6 linked regions of the Cricetulus griseus genome follow. The protein of the gene in region 6 purifies or fractionates together with the protein of the main gene of each other region. This does not show direct contact. Links are inferred from orthologs where the notes say so. Each region holds a gene or a part of one and is shown on either strand. Other genes may lie near its edges.

The links.
Region 1: the proteins of Nfkb1 (region 6) and Aurka purify together in Homo sapiens (affinity purification with mass spectrometry; 4 studies listed by BioGRID and IntAct, counting the BioPlex papers as one, with this or other methods). This does not show direct contact. The link is inferred for Cricetulus griseus from reciprocal best matches to the Homo sapiens genes NFKB1 and AURKA.
Region 2: the proteins of Nfkb1 (region 6) and Nfkbib purify together in Homo sapiens (affinity purification with mass spectrometry; 7 studies listed by BioGRID and IntAct, counting the BioPlex papers as one, with this or other methods). This does not show direct contact. The link is inferred for Cricetulus griseus from reciprocal best matches to the Homo sapiens genes NFKB1 and NFKBIB.
Region 3: the proteins of Nfkb1 (region 6) and Copb2 purify together in Homo sapiens (affinity purification with mass spectrometry; 5 studies listed by BioGRID and IntAct, with this or other methods). This does not show direct contact. The link is inferred for Cricetulus griseus from reciprocal best matches to the Homo sapiens genes NFKB1 and COPB2.
Region 4: the proteins of Nfkb1 (region 6) and Lrpprc purify together in Homo sapiens (affinity purification with mass spectrometry; 3 studies listed by BioGRID and IntAct, with this or other methods). This does not show direct contact. The link is inferred for Cricetulus griseus from reciprocal best matches to the Homo sapiens genes NFKB1 and LRPPRC.
Region 5: the proteins of Nfkb1 (region 6) and Spag9 purify together in Homo sapiens (affinity purification with mass spectrometry; 5 studies listed by BioGRID and IntAct, with this or other methods). This does not show direct contact. The link is inferred for Cricetulus griseus from reciprocal best matches to the Homo sapiens genes NFKB1 and SPAG9.

The regions. Positions count from the first base shown.
Region 1 is NC_048599.1:6,971,010-6,975,180, forward strand, and holds the start of Aurka (aurora kinase A), read left to right. Parts: upstream 1-1,331; 5' UTR 1,332-1,470; intron 1,471-3,346; 5' UTR 3,347-3,351; coding exon 3,352-3,393; intron 3,394-4,171. UniProt on the Homo sapiens protein: Mitotic serine/threonine kinase that contributes to the regulation of cell cycle progression.
Region 2 is NC_048602.1:7,104,086-7,108,207, forward strand, and holds the start of Nfkbib (NF-kappa-B inhibitor beta), read left to right. Parts: upstream 1-1,224; 5' UTR 1,225-1,303; coding exon 1,304-1,482; intron 1,483-3,988; coding exon 3,989-4,094; intron 4,095-4,122. Other genes in the region: Sirt2 (NAD-dependent protein deacetylase sirtuin-2), read right to left, coding at 50-96, 860-875. UniProt on the Homo sapiens protein: Inhibits NF-kappa-B by complexing with and trapping it in the cytoplasm.
Region 3 is NC_048597.1:207,021,149-207,025,406, forward strand, and holds the start of Copb2 (coatomer subunit beta'), read left to right. Parts: upstream 1-1,393; 5' UTR 1,394-1,539; coding exon 1,540-1,542; intron 1,543-4,258. UniProt on the Homo sapiens protein: The coatomer is a cytosolic protein complex that binds to dilysine motifs and reversibly associates with Golgi non-clathrin-coated vesicles, which further mediate biosynthetic protein transport from the ER, via the Golgi up to the trans Golgi network.
Region 4 is NC_048598.1:86,392,230-86,395,827, reverse strand, and holds part of Lrpprc (leucine-rich PPR motif-containing protein, mitochondrial), read left to right. Parts: intron 1-2,060; coding exon 2,061-2,179; intron 2,180-3,598. UniProt on the Homo sapiens protein: May play a role in RNA metabolism in both nuclei and mitochondria. In the nucleus binds to HNRPA1-associated poly(A) mRNAs and is part of nmRNP complexes at late stages of mRNA maturation which are possibly associated with nuclear mRNA export.
Region 5 is NC_048600.1:107,038,344-107,041,282, forward strand, and holds part of Spag9 (C-Jun-amino-terminal kinase-interacting protein 4), read left to right. Parts: intron 1-1,837; coding exon 1,838-1,953; 3' UTR 1,954-2,939. UniProt on the Homo sapiens protein: The JNK-interacting protein (JIP) group of scaffold proteins selectively mediates JNK signaling by aggregating specific components of the MAPK cascade to form a functional JNK signaling module.
Region 6 is NW_023276806.1:23,885,674-23,889,271, forward strand, and holds part of Nfkb1 (nuclear factor NF-kappa-B p105 subunit), read left to right. Parts: coding exon 1-60; intron 61-1,755; coding exon 1,756-1,845; intron 1,846-3,271; coding exon 3,272-3,460; intron 3,461-3,598.

The sequences.
Region 1 (4,171 bases), on a different chromosome or scaffold from region 6:
TTTACTTGGAAGGATTTAAGCTCTCCAGTCCATGAACATGAAACGCAACTGAAGACGCCGGCTTCAGTTACCAACTTGGGCAAATAATCTGATAATTACCAGTACGTGTGCGGTTAGAGTTTGGCTATCGGAATCTGGGAACAGCGGGAGGGGAGGACTGGGGGTTACAGACAGGGGTTACAGTGTTTGCTAAGCCTGCCAGACGCCCTAGGCTCAGTAACAACAGCAGCAGCAGCAGCAGCAGCAGCAGCAGCAGCAGGACCCTCCAGGCCACACACAGCACGGCACTGTCGGGAGACCTCAACAGTTACCACTCATCGAGCTCTTGCTACCGCCGGGTACGACGACCCCGAGCACCCGATCGGCATTAATCTCGACACGCAGGCATCCAGAGACTCGTGCACTTCACGTTAGAAATAAGCGTGTACAAGCCTAACCCTTGCATGAGACACTGGGACTCGACAGAGAGTGACACGAGTTCCAGAAAGTTTCCAGGGCACCCGGTCAGGCTACAGCCGGCCCCCAAGGGTGAGGGCCGGTCCGCGCAGCCTCCGCTCCCGCCAGGGACGCCCGGGGCTGGGTCTCGAGGTGTAAAGGGGGGTGGGGGGGGCGGCGGCCGAGCCTTCACCCGAGTCCCCGGGAGGAAGCACGGGCGGGCGGGAGGAGCCCGGCCCGGGGCTGCAGGGGGCCCACCCCGCTCGGGCGGAGGGGAAAGCAGGGAGCCGCCGGGACCCAGGCCCGAGGCTCGCTCGCTCGCTCGCTGGCTCGGGGTGCAGGCCGGGCCGCTCGGCTCCGGGGCGTCCGGCCTCCCGCCACCCTCTCCGCTGGCTCCGGGCCCTCTCCACGCCAGCCCCCGGCGCCCGCACCAGCCCGTCTCCCTGCGCCTGCCACCCGAGCCCGTTCCGTACCCCCGGATCAGGGTCCCGGTCTCCCGCTCTCTTCTGGAAAGATGGAGGCGCGAATCGTGCCCGATCGATCGCTCCGAGCGCACGCCCACTGCGCACGCGCCAAGGGCAGGCAGCCGAGCGCCGAGCACCCTCCCGCTCACTCGGCCAGCCTGCCCTTCTCGCCATCTTACTCACTGGCACGTTCGAGACGCTCACTCACCTCCTCCGAGCTGATCACCTTCGCGGCAACCCTGAACCCGAAGGGCTGCTGTGTGACCGGCAAACGCCCGATCCTGGGGAGCACGGCGAACGACAGAACGGCCACAGATCGGACAGGCCGTTGGCGCACCACTTCCGGGCGCTGACGGCTCAGTGCGCCTGCGCCCCGGCTACGGCCCGGAACGAGCTTCCCGTCGTCGCGTTCACGGCGGGCCAATCACAGGACGGCGCCGCTTCGCCTCCAGCCAATCAGCTTCCGGAGGAGAGGGTTTAACTCCTGTTTCAAAGGAGAACCTTTGAATTGTAACGGCTGAGCTCCTGGAATCGCTTGGAGTCTTCGCTGGAGACGCGATCCTGCCCCGGGGTAGGAAGGGGACCCGGCGGGCCAGGGAGAGCCTGGGCGCTGCAGAGCGACGCGGGGCGGAGAGGGGCCCGGGGGTGGCGGGCTGTCTCTCGGGGCTCGCATCGGTGCAGCGGAGATCCAGGTGGCCTCGTCCCTCCTTGGGTTTAGGTTCTGGTGGGAATGGGACCCGGACCACCGGCCATACCGGGTGATTTGCAAACCGATGGCGGTGGTATGGACGAAGCAACTGCGGCTCAGTGGGGACCAGGCGGGGGTCCCCTTGTAGAGACGCCCGGGGTCGTGCTGCCCCCTCACCGCAGCCTTTTGAGCAGTCGGTGTCGGTGTAGACCCGCGGAAGCTCAGCTTGTAGAATATTCCGGAAGCCCCGGGCTCGGCCCCCAGCACTGCCTAAACCATCATGGTAGCCCCCGCCTTTAATTCCGATGGTGAGGAGGTGGAGGCAGGCGGATCACAAGTTACATGGCAGATCGGAAGCCAGCCTGAACTGTGACCCTGACTCAACAAAAAAAAACAAAAATAAGTCATCTCCCCATCCCCACACCCAGCGTGGTTGCTCACATCAGCAGTCTGAGGCAGGAGGGTAGCCTTGAGTTTGAAGCTAGCTTCCGATACAATGTGAGAGCCCTTCCCAAAAGTGAGGCCTATCTGGGAATGTAGTTCTTGTGTACCACGCCCTGGATTCAAATCCTAGCACTGCATACACTGGGCACGGTGACCATGTTTGTAATTCCCATTGGGGAAGTGGAGGCAGGAAGATCAGAAGTTCAAAGTGATCCTCCATTATAGCATGTTCAAAGCCAGCCTGGGCTACATGAAACACTGTCTCAAAAACAAATACAAGACTGATATGGTCCCAAATTCCTTTAATCCCATCACTTGGGAGCAGGTAGAAGGACTTCTGAGTTCCAGACTACCTAGGAGGGCTACACAGAGGTACCCCATCTCAAACCAAACAAACAAAATCCTGGCTCCACTGCAAATGTAGGAAATAGAAATATCTTAGGGATAGGATCCTGGTATAGCTAATCATGGGAAAGCTAAAATGCAGGTCATTTAGCCAAGCTGGCATCTGGTCCCAGGGCTCCGTTTCCTACAGGCTTCCTACAGGTGAGGTGGGTACAGCCCCAGTCCTTCACTTAATGCCTCCATCTCCTGCCTAGCCTCCCCCATCTTTGCAGTAGGGGCTTTTCAATAACACGCAGGTGTTTGTCCTGACTGCAAGCAGGTGTTTGTCCTGACTGCAACCCGTATCTGAAAAGGGAAGCCCAAGGCTGATTCCTGCTGTGTCAGGAGAACTTTTCTTACATGGAGTTGTAAATCTTGGCTGAATGGGATCTGTGAAGGTCATCTGATGTAGATGAGAAGGCGAAGGACTGGGATTAGGGGAAAAAATGAGGCCAAGCCAGGAGGGTAGGAAGTGACAGCTTGCAAGGTAATAGATAAACTGGGAAATGGGCAAATGTGATTGGCTGAAACCTGTTCCCCAGGAATCAAGTTAGTGCTGGGTTTGCCACCGTAGGGGAAGCTGAGAGACTGGCAATACCGTGGGATTCAAAAGGCCCAATGGGAATGGCTTGGGAAAAGAGTAGGTGAGCTTTGTTGTTCAAGGGTTATGGGAGATGGGACCATGGCCTGGGGTAGCTGTGCAGCAAATGGGTAACCCAAGCAGGCTGTATATGCTGGGCATCATGTTTTAGAGCAGAAAGAACAAGCCCAGGAGGGAAGAGAATGAGAGGATGTGAGGAGCTGGGTGCAGGATTGTCAGTGGGAAGTGTGAGGTTGCAGGTCACAGAGGCCTGTCTGTCAGAGGCAGTGACTGCGGAGCACAGCAGTACGTGGCTTCCTGTCAATGAAAGGCTCTTGTTTCTCTCTTCAGGTGACATGGACAGATGTAAAGAAAACTGTGTTTCCAGGCCTGTTAAGGTAAAAAGAATTACCTGTAATCACAATTGAATTTTGAAAAGTTGTTTTGAAATGAAATGCATTTTGTTTGTGTGCACCCATTGTTGTAATTTAAGAAAAGCAGCCTTCAAGAAAGATGGCATGAGACAGGGTTCAAGCAGAGAAGGGCTTTTTATTAGGGAAAGAGATCATAAATAGGGGAGGGGGAGACAGGAGCACCAGCAGAGAGAGAGGGAGGGAAAGAAAGAAAGAAGGGTGGGAGCTGACAGCAGCTGAGGGCGTATCCTGTCAGAACAGGCCAAGGATAGATGCCTAAATACTAATATTCCTCCCTCTTATTATAAAAAGATGAGTCATTAGAAAGGGGTAGCAGGTGAGGTGGGGATGAGACCATTGTGTTTTCAAGACTACTTCCTGCTGACCTGGGGGGCATCGTTCATCTTTGGGGGACCTAGGAAAGCTGGGGTGCTAGCCATGTCCTGGAGTAGCTGGCTGTTTCACTTCACTGTCCAGGCTCTGTGGAACCATCAAGGTGCCTCCTGAACCTGGCAAAATGCCGTTCTTGGTGAATCCAAATCAACACCCTAGGGCGTAAAGCGCCTGGTCCTTTCCCGTCACCACAGCATCACTGGGCATGTTTGGTAGTCTTGTGCCTCCAGCTCTACGGCCAACACCTGGTAGTACTGCAACAGTAGCCGATTAGGAATGGTCCGTGGGTCTCCAAAAACATCTCAATAGGAGCAAGGAGGCATAGATGGTGACACAGCTCCCATGAGTGAGGCAGAGAGTAAGACCCAAG
Region 2 (4,122 bases), on a different chromosome or scaffold from region 6:
GAACCAAGTCCATCTCTCTCCTTCCCTCCAACCCGTTTCCCCATCTCACCTGAGCCTCCTGCACCTTCCCTGCCTGGGTCTCCACAGGGTCAGAGGCTGGGGAGGAGGGGGAGCAGACGTGGTTACAGTGGGGGGGGCAGTTAAAGGGATGAAGGATTCACAGTGGTGGAGGCAACGAGAGAACCCACTAACCTAGTTATCCTGGAGTCAGGGACGGTAGTAAAACTGTCGGAGACGGGGACAGGCATATTTTAGAGTGGAAGACACATGTGTGAGGTGGAAAGGCTGAGGGGGAGGTTTAGGAGGAGAAAGCAGGTGCGACAGGACTGAAGGAAGACTTCAGAGTCAGGCAGGACGCGGTAGTGTGAGTGCCAGCCAGGAGAGAGAGGGAGGGCGAAGTTTTTCAAGAGATGGAAATGGGGATACCTCGGCTGGAGTTGAGTGTGGGAGAGGAGATGGAGTGGAGGCAGGAGGTTTAGGAGAGACACAGGAACTGAAGGAATGAGATGGAAAGGGGCAGCAGGGGTTCCCGAACATCCTACAGTTGCCCCTAACACCAGATAACCTTAGCAACCGGGATCGTAGCAACTTTGGTCCTTAGCAACGAGGGTTCTCAGCAACCAAGGTGCGAGAAACGCGATCATTAAGAACTTGGCAAACGGACCCTTCAAGAAATCTCACAACCCAGAATCCCACCAACCTAGCAACACCGACCACTTAGCAACGGCCCTCCAAATCCCACTCCCTTCGTGCAGCCCCTTCCTCCCACCCCACCGAGCCTGTCCTCGGGCCCCGGGGCCTGCAGCCCAAAGCCAGGCCCCGGCGCGGCCCGACCCTCCCACCTGGGCCCCCGACTCACGATCCGGCTCGGCCATGGGAGCGGGGTGGGGGCCCTCGGAGCTGTCACCGACTGCTCTGTCCCGTGACGGCACCGGAAGCAAGAGGGGACCGAGATAGGCCAGAGGACTACAACTCCCGGCAGCCCACGCCGTCCTCAGCAAACCCTTTCGCGCGACGAGCCGCTCGTGGCATAGAACTACAAATCCCAAAAGGCCTGGTGCCTGAAGCCATATTGATAAAGGGCGTCTGGAAAAAGTGGGGAAACTCAGAGAGCCGGCGTGCATCTCATTATCCTGATTGGTTCTGGCGACGCACGGGGGCGGAGCGTAGCCATTTAGCTTGTTTTTATTGGGTAGATGAGGGGGCGTGTTGGGGAATTCCCGGCAGGGCGGAAGCGCTGGAGCTCACCGCAGAGCCCAGCGTCGGGCGGGCGACCACAGGGGGCCACCGAGGTGGCTGGGCCATGGCCGGGGTCGCGTGCTTGGGGAAAAGCGCGGACGTCGACGAATGGTGCGACAGCGGCCTAGGCTCCCTGGGTCCCGACGCGGCGGCTCCCGGAGGACCAGGGCTGGGCGCAGAGCTGGGCCCGGAGTTGTCGTGGGCGCCCCTGGTCTTTGGCTACGTCACTGAGGATGGGGACACGTGAGTAAACCTTAAATTACCTACCAAACGGAGCCCCGGGATCCTACCTGAGCCTCCATCGGCTTGTGATTCTGTGACTTACTTACTACCTTCTGGTTCCTACCCCTGACTTCCGATACGAGCCTTCCTGACCCATACATAACTCCCCCCACCCCCAATCCTAAGTTGTGAGTCTGGTTTCACCCACGGTCAAGCGTCTCGCCTTTCTTGGAACTGTAAATTTGTGCTCCTGGAATCCGCATCCTTACCATGGGTCCCCATACCGCATCTGAACCTTTCCAACCCGGTCCCCCCAGACCTTTCCCACGAATTCTGACCTCTTGCTTCCAAATGTGGCTTTTGATCCGTAGCTACTCTTGTATAAGCCAGATTTTGATTCCCAAAATTAGTCCTTGGCCCTGAGTCTACGACTCTTGACACTTCCAGCATTGATTTGCAATTAAGAAATTGAAGTGATGCCCGGCCGTGGTGGCGCACGCCCTTAATCCCAGCACTGCAGAGGCAGAGGCAGGCGGATCTCTGTGAGTGCAAGACCAGCGTGGTCTACAGAGTGAGTCCCAGGACAGCCAAGGTAGTTAGTTACACAGGGAAACCTTGTCTCAAAAAACAAGACGACAACAGCAACAAGAGAGAGAGAGAGAGAGAGAGAGAGAGAGAGAGAGAGAGAGAGAGAGAGAGAGAGAGAGAGAGAGAGAGAGGAAAGAAAAGAAAAGAAAAAGAGGGGAAAAAGGAGAGGGAGATTGAAAAATAATTGTAAAATTTGACTGGGGAGAAGGGCAGCTGTGGTGAAGGGCTATGCAAGGGATTGTACCCGGGATTTTTTGTCCTTTGTGCTTTTTGCGTGTGCCCAATGACTCAGTGCCTGACCCATGAAGGGAACATAATAAGCACTCTTAAAGAACCAGGTGTAATTTCCTTAATTTTCTTATTTTTCACTTTCTATGTTATTGGTCCTTGTTCCTTTATTATTTTATTCTGATTACTTTTAGATTTGAATTTTGTAATTTTCTTTCTCCTCCTTCCTTTTTTGGGGGGGTCGGGCAGTCTCATGTAGCCCATGATGGCCTTGAGCTTGCTGTTTAGCTGAGGATAGCCTTCAATTTTTCATCCTCCTCTAAAGTATGCATCATTATACTCAGCCAGGGTGTGTGTGTAGACTAGAGGATAACCTTGGGTTGTTTTGTTTTGAGACAGTCTTTCACTGGTCCAGTACTCAACACATCGGCTAGGTTAGCTGGCCGGAGAACCTTAGCTTTTTTCGAGACAGATTTTCTCTGTATTGCTTTGGAGCCTGTCCTGGAGCCTCTCTCTGTAGACCAGGCTGGCCTGGAACTCTCCTCCCCGGTGTTGGATTAAAGGCATGTACCACCAACACCTGGCTGCTTTATGTAATTTGAAGGTTTGTTATTGGAGCCATAGTGTGTGTGTGTGTGTGTTGCTGCCAGTTAAGCCTGAGGTCTTGCACATGTTAGGCAGGTGCACCCCCAACCCACATCCCAGCCCCTGCCCTAGTTTTCCACTTTTTTTGTATTTTGTTTTTTGAGTCAGGCCTTCACTGTGTAGCCTTACACTTGTGATCCTCCTGCCTTAGCTTGGGAAGTACTAAAATTAGAAGCTGGGGCTAGGGCTCTCATACCCAGTTTGTTTGTCTTTGTGTATGTAAGTATGCTTGTGTTTGGAGGCCAGTGATTGGTGTTCACTGTCTACCTCAATTGTTCTACACGTTGTTGTTATTATTTGAAACAAGGTTTCACAATGTAGTCCTGGCTGACCTAGAATTTACCATGCAGACTAGACTAGCCTGGAATTCACAGGGATCCACCAGCTTCTGCCTCTTTCACACAAGCCACCATTTTTGGTTTTGTTTTTGCTTTTGTTTTGTTTTTTGGTTTTTTTGTTTGTTTGTTTGTTTGTTTTGTTTTTTCGAGACAGGGTTTCTCTGTGTAGCGTTGGAGCCTATCCTGGCACTCGCTCTGGAGACCAGGCTGGCCTCGAACTCAGAGAGATCCGCCTGCCTCTGCCTCCCGAGTGCTGGGATTAAAGGCGTGTGCCACCAACACCCGGCTTTGTTTTTTTTGTGACAGAATTGCACTATTTAGTATTTGGCCCTGCTAGTCTAGAACTTACCATGTAGCCCAGTCTGGCCTTGAAGTAACAATCCTTCTGCCTCACCTTCCCCAGGTGCTGGAATTTGAGCTACTACAGGTAGCTAAATTCTTTAAAATAAACACTGGTAAGACAAAGTTGGTAGCTGGACCTGCTGTCACAGGCTTGTCAGCCCAGCTACTCGGGAGGCCGAAGCAGGAAGAACTTGAACTCCCGATCAGCCTGGGTAGTTTATGAAGACCCTTGTCTTATCTCAGAACACCAATCAGGCAGACAAAGGAAGTTGCTGGATTCGCTCCTGTCCCTGGCTCTCCGGGACACTGAAGTGTTTCCAGTTATGGCTACAGTTTGCAGCATACAGTAGACACTCGTGTTTACTGACCTCTGCCTCTGTCCCCAGGGCCCTGCACTTGGCCGTGATACATCAGCATGAGCCCTTCCTGGATTTCCTCTTGGGCTTCTCCGCCGGCACTGAGTACCTGGACCTGCAGAATGACCTAGGCCAAGTGAGCCACTGGGGATGGGCCCCCTAGG
Region 3 (4,258 bases), on a different chromosome or scaffold from region 6:
AGCCTCCCAAGTGCTTTAATGACAGGGACATGCCACCATGTCCCTGCTAAGAGCTGATTACAGGTCACAATTTTAGAACTTAATGTTGGTGAACTGTGGCAGAGAAAGACTAGTTAAGACACAAAATGAAGACCATACTTCGGGGCTTGAATCTCCAACAAGGTGAACTACATAAATCTTTGGTGCCTGGTGTTATATATATTCAAATATTGTCAACTGAGATCCCGGGGAATGGACATATTATTTTAATTTGTATTTTTGGCACTGTATCAAATCAAAATACACCCTCTTGAATGCAACAAGAGTTCAGGAATAAAAAATAATAGAAGCCCCACTATTCTACCACAGTAGATACAGTTCACATCTAAAAAAAATAAACTAATTTTGCAATTGGTTGCTGTACAGTATGCAATGTATGTGATTATTCGGCTCAATTGTGTAAAATCTCACTACTGATAGGAAATTTGTTTTTACTGAAATACAGAATAGTAAAAATGGAAATTTGTAAACTATCCAAAACAGAGGCCCCTAAGTCTCACAAGAACCAGGAGCTGCCTGATAAAAACTTATGCTTCCCTCTCCCAGTCTACACACTTCCTTTCTGGAAACCTAGACTTTTCGTTCCACTCGTTGTATAGTGTTATCATTTTAAAAAGGTGTGTGTGTGTGTGTGTGTGTGTGTGTGTGTGTGTGTGTGTGTGTGTGTCATCGGCAGACAGTGCGTTTGCATTTTTCTTGGAAACCCCTATGACATGGTACTTTCTAAAATTCAGCTACCTTAATACAGAGCTCCTTTGGCGTAGTAGATAGAGCACAAAGCTCTCAGGGCATATCCTCTGAGCCTAGACCCTAACACCATTACTTCCTGGGCCGTCTTGGCCAGTACACACAACTTCCTTGAGCCTTAGTTTCCTACTCAATAAAATGGAGACGAGCCGAGATTCACGTGAAGATCTGAAAGGAAAGCACCTACGCTACAGTCAGCTGAAGGCACACAGCCCAGCAAAAGCAGGGTGGGTGCTCTCTGAGGGGCAATCACTCCCGCCCACAGCTTCTAGGCCTGGGCCATGGTCATCCAAGATCCAGACACAGCTCTGGGCCTCGTTCCGGAGCCTACTAGAGCCTTGTTTTCTCCGCCAGAAGCAGGAACTGGTCGGACAGAGCTTCCGGGCTCCTCCGCTGCCGCCGGCATTCAGCAGTCATGCAGCACAGCGCTCCTTCTTGGCTTTCTGAACCTGATCGAAGGTGAGCGGCCACAGCCGCTGAGAGCCACGCCCTTCTCGGGTCGCAGCGCTGCACTTGAGCCAGCTCAGCAGCGGGAGGCGCAGAGGGCCGCGTTACCTTGGAAACTGGGGCGGGGCTTAACACGGACCGCCTTACCGGGATCTTGCGCAGGCGCACAGCCTGGTTCCGAGTATCGCGAGAACCGCTTCCCGGAAGTTCCACGTCAGTGGGTCGGCAGGTCCGCGGGTCGGTGGGTTCTTCAGGACCGGAGTCGCCGGGAGCCTGTGAGAGGCTCGGGCTCGGACAGTCGGAGCCATGGTAGGTCGGGCCCCGCGGGACAGAGAGCGAAGCTCCCGGGCTGCGGCAGGTTCCGGGGGCTCCCGGGCTGGGGGCCGTGGTGAGGCGCGGCCTGGCGGGGTCCTGTTGGAGTTCTGCTGGGCGGCTGGCCCGGCCTGGGGCCTGCGAGTGAGCGGCTGCTGCCTCTCCTGGCAGCCAGGGTGCCTGTCGGTGCACCCGGCGTGTGCACTGACCGGGTCTAGTAGCGCAAGTCAGTGCCAGAGGCAACTTTGACAAAACTCACGCCATTCTGTCATTAAGCTGGTGTCTGGTAGCGTGCAGACCCCAGATTGCAAACTTAAGCAGAGCGAGAAAGTCAAATGCATATGGAGTCAAAGGTGGCATTTCAAATGCTTTGGCGGGGCAAAGAAAGATTGGGGAATTGTTCTTAAAACTGGCTGATGTGTGTTTCTGTACTTTTTAAAAAATCATCGCCGTCACGCTGTAACGAGACCCAAAATGCCTTTGCACAGGATTGTTACAATGAAAAAGTATGAGGATATCTTTTCTGGAAGAAAATTAAGAAAAAAATCAGAATTTTATTTTTGAACATTTTTTTGCCTATTTTATTTGTTATGGATCACATGATCAAATATTTTGGTGATTGACGACTGTAGGAGAAATAATTCCAAGTCCCTAACCTGACGGTTTAAAACACACTTTAAGTTTGCACAAAGCAGGTTATGGAAAAGTGAAAACTAGAACAAGGACTGGCTGGTGAGGAGCATGGCTACTCCCAAAAAACCTCTTGGAGAAAGAGTTTGGCATAACATTTAGTGTTTCCAGCCCCTCCCACACCATCCTCATTTGTGTACTTTACCGGGTCCCCAAAGTTGAGAGCCACCTCAACAAACCTTGTATGGAAATCACAGCACTTTATATTAAACAGCTCGTGTTGACTGGGCCTTCTGGGCTCAGAGAGAACGACATTTTGGAAACTGCGCTTGGATTGGCCTAATTTCATTTTTAATAGTGAAATATTGCTTTCATTCTTTATTGTATGTGGGTTCCACACCCACAGATTGAACCAGTTTTGGGTGGAAAACATTTGGGGAAAAATACTGTGTGATCACGCACTGGCATTTTTCTGCTGATTTTTCCTTAACTAGTATAGTGTAACAACTCTTGGACCTTGTATTGGTGTTGTAACTAATCTAGAGATGACAGGGAGTAATGTGTAGATTATAAGCAAATACCACACCATTTTATATAACTTGAACAACCAAGGGTTCTGGTTTGGTGGAGGGTGCTGGAACCATCCACAGACACCAAAGGATGACTTTATTTTAAAAGTCTCAAGTAGAAAGCACAAAATGTGAATCTGTTCATTTGCCAACTCACCATAGGAGTATTTACTGTCCTGCATTTTGCTAAACTGTCAGAGCAGCCTGTAGATAGTTACGAGTAATGCTTATGAGATGGTTACTATAAGCCCTGCACTGCTGTAACTGAACTCTGAATTTACTTCTCAAAACACTAAGAGGTGGACGTTGTTATTATCATCCCTGTTTATACAAGTCAAACCTGGAAGGTTAAGTAAACCTGCTACTCCATGTCTAATCAAGTATGCAGCTGAGGTTTGATGTAGCAAGACTGTGGACCTCAGTTAGGCCACCTGTTCCTCCCCACCATTCCCAAATAAATGAGGTGTGGAGAGAAGGACCTCCATAAGCAATGATCCTGCCCTTAAGAAGCCCACATGTACCGTGATTGGGGAAGAATCCTTCTGGCTAGGCTAGGTTATTGATGGCGGTGGCTTTTAAACCAAGACTGGAGTTGAGGATGCATTGTGAGTACTTTAACCATCTAGGACCTGCTACAGTATCTTTTGAAAGTTATGACTGGGATGGTAAGTATAACTATAGGAGCTCTTGCCTGCAGTAATGGACATTTTAAAAGTAGTGTCTCTATTTTGGAGTATGCGAAGCTATACTGGGTTTTTCAAAGATCCCTGACCATTTTGGTCAATTTTAAAGCATTGTTAGTATAAAATATTTATTTGTATGTATATACTTGGATGTGTTGGCTTATGTGAAAGATCCCTTTATGGTTCCTGGATTAAATATACTTCCTGTTTGTTGACACTACAATGACAGGAAGAAGTTAAAATTTGTGACAGTAGTAAGCTGGGCAAAAATTCAGAAGTCATTGAGAAGGTTCTGCCTTCCTGATTTAAAGATGGTGGCTTGAATAAGTTTGAGATGGATAGGAACACTTGACAGTGAAGTGTTCTCAAGGGCACTGAAGAGTTAGAACGTGAGCTTTGAAAACAGTAGTTGGAAGTCAGGGAGCTAACTGAAGAACAGAAGTAGGCAGTGACCTACCTTTGACAGAGATCCAAAAAGAGATGAATAAAAGCCTTGTTAGGTGTTTGTTTCAGATATTACCTCTGTTGGAGCCTCATGTGTTGAAAAGTAACCCTAAATTTCTGTCCCGTTCATGATTGTTAAGGAACAGCTCAAAGAAGCTAGCACAGTAACTCATCCTTTCAGGTTGTGCTTTAGGCTTGTTGAAAAGGAAATGCATTTTAAACTAGCCCATAGGAGAGAGTGGGACCTACTGCTGCAGGGTCTCATTGTATAATGAATTACTTTTCTTCTGTGTTGGCATCCCTGGGAGAAACAGAAAACAATCAGTCAAATCATTTTCTGTTTGGTTCAGATAGAGAGGCTGACTGGAATTGCTATTTTATGGATTA
Region 4 (3,598 bases), on a different chromosome or scaffold from region 6:
CTAATTCTTTGGTTTGCATTACTGGTAATCAGAAAGAGTATCTCATAAAAAGATGCTTTTAACAGAAGTGCCTCCCCCTTGGGGAAACAAAAATGGTCTTTTTTCATTTTATCTCACAGTATAATGTGCTTTGGAATGAGATGCAGAGTTGTTAGTGTGACATTGGGTGACAAACAAAATGCACAAACAACAAAAAAAGTGCTTTTAGCAGACTTTCACATTGCAATTTTATTTTAAATATATAGTTGTCTTCTGGTTTAAAGGAAATAGTGAAACAAGTATTCCCTAATTGTTTCTGGTTATAAAAGTCTCTGAATCCTTTTTAGAAAAGTCTTTGTGAAAACAATATGAGTTGATTAACTCTTTGTATATCCTCCAGTTCTGAAAGCATGGAGTCACCTTTAACCTAGTATTTCTGTAGCACAGAACACTTAAGCATTGATCAGATGCTTGGGCATGTTAGTATTCTTTATCTTTATACAGGTAGGAAAATACTTTTGGTGCCTTTTGAAATGTCTGTGTATCAGGTAAGTTTCCTGATGACACCGTATTGTAATGTCTACCCTTTCAGTTGGCTGCTACATTAATTGTTAGGAACCATAAAAGAACAAGACTGTTTCTAGCTAGAACTAGATGGGTTTGTCGTACATCTGCCTTTCCTTTGAGGATGCTGTGCTGAGAGCTCACATTATATTAATGAGGGAACCAAAAGCCAAGGGCCGAGGGACTGGCCACAGATGCTGTCACTATGTCAGGGTTCAACATCATTTCTGCATGTTGGTAATACTGCTTCATGTCTCCGCCACTCGGTATCTGTTACACTGACTAGTAACATTCTCTGTCCCTTGGAAATTACAAATCAGGTTTTAGATTAAGGATATCTGAAAATCAAGAGCAAGATTTTTAATCCAATCCAAGTTTTACTTGGAAAACCCCAGAAGACTATGGATTATTGGAGATGCTGACTTGATAGTACAAGAGTGTCAGTTGTCCTTCAGCATTTAAAACCATCTGCACTCTTTAGACCTCCTCTTCTGGGGGTCCTGAAGATAGGAAAGTGTGCTATGTAGCCTTGCATGGAACAGTTAAGGGGCTGTATGCTTTTGTGTAGTTTCTGTCATGGCATGCAGGGCTAGATAGAAAGCCACATTCTCATCAGTGAAATGAACCAGCTCTTTTCCGGTTAACGTCCAGTATAAACTGGTAGGATGATGTTGATGGATGCCGAGGCTGCAGCTGCTCAGGAGTGCTTGCTTAGTGAGGAGTGAGAAGAACCTTGGGAAATGAAGGTCAGAAAAATTTGAAATGAGTTTTCAGTAACAGGACAGTGGCATTGCTGTTGAATTTGAGGCATGGATTTCACTGTCACCAGCCTCCAACAAGATTTTTTGAGACCTCTTACTGCCACTCTTCTCTGTGGCATGAATAGAAAAGTCACTATGTAGAATATTTTCAGTAAGCAGGCATAAATGAGAGAAGCTGGGAATTGGGACCAAACTTCCTTTGATGTAGTTTGGAAGCATAAAGATACGAATATACAGGGTTGAGCTGAGCATAGTGGCGCACGCCTTTAATCCCAGCACTTGGGAGGCAGAGGCAGGGGCATCTCTGTGAGTTCGAGGCCAGCCTGGTCTACAGAGGAGGTGCCAGGATAGGCTCCAAAGCTACACAGAGAAACACTATCTTGAAAAAAAACAAACCAAACCAACCAAACAAACAAAAAACAGAAAGACTATGAAGGGGTTGTTTGTAGATGGATGTGTGGAGGGCAGCCCTGAAAGTAAAAGTGTTAGTTGAGTCAAGGGTAAAATAGAGGGCCTTATTTTTCAAGAAGTAGAATTTTGCCTCCAAATAAGGTGAAGGTATTTGATTGATGACAGGCAGTCTCAGGAGGTGAGAGTGGCACAGGTAAATCATGTCTGCTTCCCTAGAATTTGGATTATTTCAATTGCTACAGTGTTTTGTTTTTAGACAAACTGCTGAGGAATAACCAGGTTAACCTCATGACTTCCCTGAATGCTAAGTTCTTTATCTCTGTCCTGCTTTGTTTTATCTCCTAGGAATAATGGATATCCTGAAAATAATGACTGAATTGGGAGTAGATCCTGATCAGGACACATATGTAAATTATGTGTTTCCATGCTTTGATAATGTAGCATCATTTCGAGCTGCTTTGCAGGTGGGTACAAGTGTGCCTTTAATGGCATAACTGAAGAAAATACTCTTTCTCCCTAATGTTTCATTGTCATTAAAAAAAAAAAAAAAAAGCACCACTGAGTGAAAAACTAAAAATGGTCTTGTATATACAGTTCTGATGTGTTGATAAGACTATCCTGATACAGAAACATTGAAGATTCACTCCTTGGTCTCACCAAGGAAACTGTAATTTTCATTTTTTTTAAAATAATTTTTTTATGAATTTTCCTAAATATATTAATAATAGTATATTTGTTATTCTGTATTTGAAAAATAATCTTTGTTGGGCTTTGAAACATCGTGTTCCTGCCATGCTTTTGACCGTACCAGATGAAGCAAGGAATTGTGAATGTCATTTGTAGGGTTGGCTTTGGAGCTCCCCAGGTAAGAGCACTTGCCATTCTTGCAGAGGATCCAGATTTGATTCCCAGAATCCACCTATAACTCCAGCTCCAGGAGAGCTGACACTTTCTTCTGGCCTCTGTAGGCACTAGGCACATGAGGTATATAGGCATGAATGCTGGCAAACACACTGACACATAAAAGAGTGAAATAGAAAATTAAAAAGAAATTCGACTTGCACCATACAAGAATTACATTTTTAAGCCAGGTGATGGTTGCACACACATTTAATTCCACCACTCAGGAGGCAGAGGCAGGTGGATTGCAGTGAGTTTGAGACCAGCAGGACAGCTAGGACTGTTACACAGAGAAACCCTATCTTGAAAAACAAAACAAAACAAACAAACAAAAACAAAAACAAACCAAAAACCCAAAATTGGGAGTTATATCTTGAGTGGTTTTACTTTTACCTTCCTCACTTCCTTTTCAGGGGCAGATAGGGGCCTCCAGGGCACTGGCTAACTTCTGACCTTTTGTCCCCACCTCCTGTGTTCTGGGACAGTAGGCGGCATATGTTAGTATGTTGGGTTTTTGTTTTTGGGGTTTTTTTTTTTTTTTTTTGGCTTTTCAAGACAGGGTTTCTCTGTATTGTTTTGGAGGCTGTCCTGGAACTCTCTCTGTAGACCAGGCTGGCCTCGATCCCCCTGCCTCTGCCTCCCAAGTGCTAGGATTAAAGGTGTGCGCCACCACCCAGCTTACCTGTTGGGTTTTTTATGCTGTGCTAGGGCCCAAGTCCAGGACATGGTGTCTGCCCAGTGAGCTAGCTCCATTCCCCAGCTCGCTTTAGTTCTCAAAAGCAGCTATTAACCTCATGCTGCACATGCTTTATGTTAGACATTACTGGTAAACAGTGGCCTTCTGCATAATTTATCCTTTGCAGAAATACAGCCTAAGGTTCCAGTGTAGTCCTGTGACTACTATTGTTTTTCCAGGACTGTTTATCTCTTTTAGGAGAAAATTATACCTAAATTGTAAACTTGCCTGAATTTTGATTACTCCT
Region 5 (2,939 bases), on a different chromosome or scaffold from region 6:
CATTGTAGTTTGCTTTTGTTGTGTTGTTTTTTGAAATAAATTATGCGCTGCAATTGACTGTCCGATCAGGCTGGCCTGGAACTCACTCGGGTTTTGCCCACCTTTGCCTCCAGAGTGCCAGGATTAAAGGCATACTCCACAACACTTGGCTCATTGTAAATTTTTTATTTTTTTAATTTTTTTTTTTTTATTTTATGTGCATTGGTGTTTTGTGATGGGTGTTGTGTTCCCTGGAACTAGAATTACAGACAGTTGTGAGCTGCCGTGTGGGTGCTGGGAATTGAACCCAGGTCCTCTGGAAGAGCAGTCAGTGCTCTTAATCACTGAGCCATCTCTCCAGGCCCGGTAAATTTTTTAAATTTAAGAGCCAAACTTGAAACTAGAGAGATGTCTCGGTGGTTAAGAGCTCTGGCTGCTCCTCCAGAGGCCCCGTGTTTATTCCCAACACCCACATGGGGGTTTTCTCCAGTTCCATAGGATCTGATAACCTCGTCTGGCCTTCGTAGGTACCGCATGCACATGGTGTGCAGACATGTAGGCAAACACCCATACACATAAAATGAAAATAAATAAAACTTTTAGAAACAAAATCAAACCATCCAAACTTATTTTTCTTAAATATATGGTTATATTTTAGTTAGAGAAACTGACTTTTGACCTGAGTGTGCACTCTGTATTTTGACATTGCTGTGAAAAAGTTGGGGAGGGGGAGTGCTAAGGGAAAATGGCTTGCATAGAGAAGTGCATACATTCAGTTACTTCTCTCCCTCTATTTCTAGTCAGTGGTGCCATTTTCTTCTGCTAAACTCAAATGGGAGCATTACAAAATCCCAGTATATCAGTGAAATATCTTTGTTTCTTAGTGTGCACATTTTTAGGATTCCACTGAAGAATTCATCCCACTAAACAAGTTGTCAGCTAGATTGTACCAGAATAACCTTGCTCTGAACAGCAGAGCTGACTACTGCAAGCTTGTGGACAGGAGCAGCGGTACCTATTCAATGCTCAGTGTCTCAGCTGGGGAACTTTACCCTGGTCCCCAAGAATCAGCATGACATCCTGGGCCTTAGTTAGTATGTTCCATATTTGTGCTTTCTCAGTTTGAAATAAACAAGAGTAGAATATCCATTTTGAACAAATAGAACTGGATATGTTTGCTTTTTCCCATCTCCCATTTCTATTATCATTAGTGAACAGACATAATTATGAACTAGCTCTCGTGAATGAAAGGAAAAAGGGATTCCAGAAATCAGTCAGTGGTTTGAATGAAGATTCAGACTGGTACTTTTTTTGTCATTATTACATTTAGTGTGTGTGTGTGTGTGTGTGTGTGTGTGTGTGTGTGTGTGTGTGTGTGCGCGCGCGCGCGTGCGCAGCATGTACACTATGCTATATTATATGGTGATCCCAGGACAATTCACATGAATATGTTCTCTCCTTTCACCATGTGGTGGCAAAGGCTTTTACCCACTAAGCCATTTCACTGGCCCCTGACTCTTCCTTTACTTTTTATTTTTTCATTTTTGTGTGCACGAATACATGTGTGTGAACCCTTAGAAGTCAGAAGAGGAAATAAGATCCCCTAGAACTGTAGTTATAGATGGTTTTGAGCTGCCCAGCATGGGTACTGGGAACCAAGCTGAGGTCCTCCGGAAGAGTAGCAAGTGCTCTTACTCTTTGAGCCATCTCTCCAGCCCCCTGGTATTCTTTCCTGTGCTCTATGCACCAGAAGTCAAACAAGCTTTGAGCATCATATTCATGGGCTAATTTAGTCCAGTTCACATCATTCTTTGTTTTCTGCACTTAAGCTAACTTCAGTTTCCTTATGATCCATTAGGTGATGAAGGTGGAGAATCTGAACTTCTTGGAGAGGATCTTCCACTGGAACCTTCGGTCACCAAAGCAGAAAGGAGTCACCTGATAGTGTGGCAAGTGATGTGCGGCAATGAATGAGTCCATAAGAGACAGGTGGAGATGAGGAAGCTGCCTCTTCTGCATGATTTATTTTCCCCCTTATTTAAGGCGCTCTCTTTTTTTTTTTTTTTCTTTTTTTGAGAAAGACATTTCACCACATAATATGTGAGCATTTTTTTTCCGGGTTACCTTTATATTACAAAATCTGTCCTATGGTAACAATACAGAGGAAGAGCAAGCTAGTTTACTGCACAGTGTTAATAGGCAATTTCAGTATATCATGAACAAATCAAAGGATGTTTACTTTCTGCAAACTAGTGAATTACAGAAAGCAATCCACATGTGGTTTGCTCTGCCACAGTCTAATGTCACTCACGTAATTGATAAGGTCACTTTTTAGCTATCACTAATAATGGAACTAATGGAAAAGACTTAATAAATGAAACTGTACCATGAAGTACAATAGAGTTTTCCCCAATGTATTATAGAATTGACACACTAATAACAGGTGGATTATCAAGATTTATCTAAATGTCCCAAGAGGGCTAAAAGCTAACTGTAAATTCCTTTAACTTTCACTTTCAATTCTGACAAATCTTGTTTATATGGTATATAAAACTTTGTTTTCATCAGATTTGGGGGTTTTTATATTAAAGAAATTAAGGCTCCACTATTTAAATAAAATTTCTTGTTCCTATCTCATTAGAACTTTAAAGTTTATGAAGCCTGCTTCTCTGCATAGTCTCATTTTTTAGACTAGTTTCACCGATTTTCATACTAGCATTTAAGAAATGTATTATTTGAAGTTTAGGAAATATTCTGGGAAGCGTAGAGGACACTTCAATACTGGAAGGATGTTCTAAGAAGAAACTGTGTTTTGTACTCCTTGTCCTAGAGGATGGTGGTAGTTGATTGAGTTTTTTCCATGGAAAAAAGTACCTATTAGCCAGATGTTCCTAGCTGCTCCTAACCTGTTAAGGAGGGGACACTGTGGTGGCTGTGGATTCAACCTAATTAGCTGAATA
Region 6 (3,598 bases):
GCGGTGGAGGCATGTTCGGTAGTGGCGGTGGTGGAGGGAGTACCGGAAGTCCTGGCCCAGGTACGAGAAGTGTCTTCTATCTAACGCCTTTTCATGTGGGTGAGGGCACGGTTTTCTTTCCCCGGTTTCCAGGCATGTCTGCTGCTTGAGGGGCGGCAACATTACTAATTATGAGATTTCCAATTAATTTCCAATTAATAGAAGTCTTCCTACAAATGTCAAATTTTTCAAAGAAATGTGTGTTCATCTTGCAGTACAGTAGCTGTCCTCCCCCATCCAGTTTCACTTTTTGTGGTTTCAGTTACACGCGGTCAAGCTTCAGTCTAAAAATACTACCATTGTCTCGACGAGAGAGACCACATGCACGGAGCTGTTATTACAGCCTATTGTTACAACTGCCCTGTTACTATGAATTATTGTTGTTCATCTCCTGTCTTTTTGCACTGTGAACTTTACCACAGGTCTGTGTGCAGCTGCAGTTTTAGGGGAGTCTTGAACCATACATCTCAGGATAATATGTGGGTAATCTCCAAAAGTCTGAGAGTCCACATTTATCCAGAAGATGCCTTTCCCAAATGAGTTTTGAGTATCCTCCCCCCACCACACTTTTTTTTTTTTTTTTTTTTTTTTTTTTTGGTTTTTTTGAGACAGGGTTTTTCTGTGGCTTTGGAGGCTGTCCTGGAACTAGCTCTTGTAGACCAGGCTGGTCTCAAACTCACAGAGATCCACCTGCCTCTACCTCCCGAGTGCTGGGATTAAAGGCGTGCGCCACCAACGCCCGGTCCACCACACTTTTTTTAAGAGGGTCAATTGTTCTGTTATTCTGGGAGACATTCAAACAACTCTCATACCTGTTCCATGGTAGATGTGTGTTATAGTCCTCTGCATGGCACTGCAGACTGCAGATTACACTGTAACACATTGAGTCACAGAAAATCCTACCTCTGCAGGGTTAGCAGGAAAGCACTGTGATGGTATGTGAACGAACTACTTCTAATTTTGACACGCATATATTACAGTCCGTGCTTATGAGCTTCCGGGTATGGCTGTGATCCCCATGCATGGCTTTTCAACCATTAATTTATTTAGATTTATTATCATTACACCATGTTTGTGGGTGCAGAATGATGGGTTTGGTGTTTGTTTCTGATGTTAACTTGAGCACTTCTTCATGGTAATACAGGTCTTACAGAGCATCATTGGGTATCGTGTCTAATGACCCATACCAGATGGAGTGACAACCCTATAGCACAACTGACTTGAATGCTGTTTCCTGTTTTCTGTGTGATATGCTTTGCTGAGCATGGCTTTCCTTTTATTCCAGATAACTTGTAAATGCTTCAAACTGTCACATCAGAGTGTGTGAAGGCTGCTCCTCTGAAGAGCTTTATCACTCTTCCACCAAAAATAATGAAAATGAAAGTGGTAGCCATGTTTCCCATCAGTACATTATTGTATTGGGGTTTCTCACCAGGGTCATCTTATTGAGCTATTTTAATGTAGCTCTAAGTCTTGGCCTGACTACTTGCCGTTGCTTTTCCCCTTTGCCTGGGCGGAAAGAAGCTTCTCAGTATTAACTCCTCCAAGCTGCCAGTCTGAGCCCTGCCTGTGTTGCCACAGGGGAACTCACCTGTCTTTTTCCCACAGTGCATCCTGCTAACTCTTGGGCGAAGCCTGTGTAGGCTGCTCCCCCGAGTGTGTGCCCCGTCTGTTAACAGCCTCTCTGATGTTCCCTTTGTCTCGTTGCTGGCTTAGGGTATGGCTTCTCGCACTACGGATTTCCTCCTTACAGTGGGATCACTTTCCACCCTGGAGCCACTAAATCCAACTCTGGGATCACCCATGGTAAGTCAGACGAACACCAAGAAGAAAAACACAGGGACTACAGCATCATCGTTAAAAGTTTTAGAAAATAACTTTCCAATAAATTAATATTTTTGTATAATTCTAGGACAGCATAACACATATTTCTAACATGTATTTATTCATTACATTGCATGAATGGAAGTAGGGCAGTGGTGCAATGCAAAAAATATAGGCTTAACTACCCAAACATAAAAATACCACCTTTTCTGTCTTTTCACCTCAAATACGATCCTTTTGAAATCAGTTTTCAGTTTGTAAGGTTGGCCGTTTCCACTCCCATGTATCCTCTGAGTACCTGTGCTTAAAGTCTGCTCATAGTCTACAGGAAGGGATATTCTTTTATGCCATGGAAATTATCCTATAATGCCTTTTCATATGTAGTACCTGTTCATGCCAGATGCAGACATCACTGTAACCTTTTTTAAAGATTAACTGACATTGTAGTTTTCCTATAATCAGCTAAAACTCACCCTACAAAATAGAACTATTGTTCCCATTAACCATGACTTCATGACCCCTGTGCAAGGAGAACACAAGACTTGGCCCTGTCCAGACAGAACATGGAGTTCAGAAACTTTTATTTACTCTCTGAAGACAGCGCTAGTGGCGGTAGAACTGTGGTAGTTTTGTACCAGGTTTGCCCAGGAGTCTTAGGTACCCTTGTTGTACCTGTCACATAACAGTTCCAACAACAGTGTGACTGAACATGGAGTGTGGGAGCCCCACCAGGCCAGACTATGAGTGGAGAGAGCTCTCACAGTTTCCCTTGTTACTCCACATTCAGAAAGAAAAATAACTACTTTCAAGAACTTTCCATTTGTTCAGCATGTAGAACTTTATCTCATTTTTCTCTTTCACAGATAAACAAAACAAGATTCATTCACTGTTTTTGTTTGAGAAAGCATGGCACTGTGTAACCTTGGCCTTGTGGTGCTTCTCCTGCTTCTGTCTCCTGGGTGCGAGTGAGGAGATTATGGGTTTGAGTAGCCGTTTCTGGCTGCAAAATGAGATGGGAGTTTTTGGAAAATGAGCTTTAAAATGTTCCTGAATACTTAAAGTATTACCAAAACATGCCAGGGTGTTGTGGTGCACACCTTTAATCCCAGCACTGGGGAGGCAGAGGCAAGAGGATCTCTGTGAATTCAAGGCAATGTGGTCTACATAGTGAGTTTGAGGCCCACCAGAGCTACACAGCAAGACCCTGTTTCCAAAAGTAAATAAATTAATAAATAAATACATGGAAAATATGTCCAGAACATACTATTTATGTTATGAAGATTTATACCTTTCCATTTTCAACAAACCTGCCTTCTTTCTTTTCTCTGCCCTGTGTTGAAACTATGAGTTTTATAGTTTGATGAATAGATTTTATTAAGGAAAAGATAATTTTTTGCATTTATCCTAGGAACCATAAACACAGAATCAAAAAATAACCCTAAAGACTGTGACAAGAGTGGCGACAGAGAGGCTCTGAATCTCTCTGAGAAGGAAACAGCAGGACAGGATAAGGAGTCTGGCGTGTCCAGCACCAAGAGTGATACGGTTGCACTGTCATTCCCCATGGAAGACAAGGAATGGGGCGCTGGCTTTCGGGGTAGGTGAGCGTGCCCACAAGGGTTTCCACGGGCAGCTGGGGCGGGTGACCCTCTAGGTACAGGAAGCTGTCTCCAGAGCATGGGTTTCCTTCCTGTTAATCTAAAGAGGGTGGGTCAGCATCTGGTCTGAGTGCTCT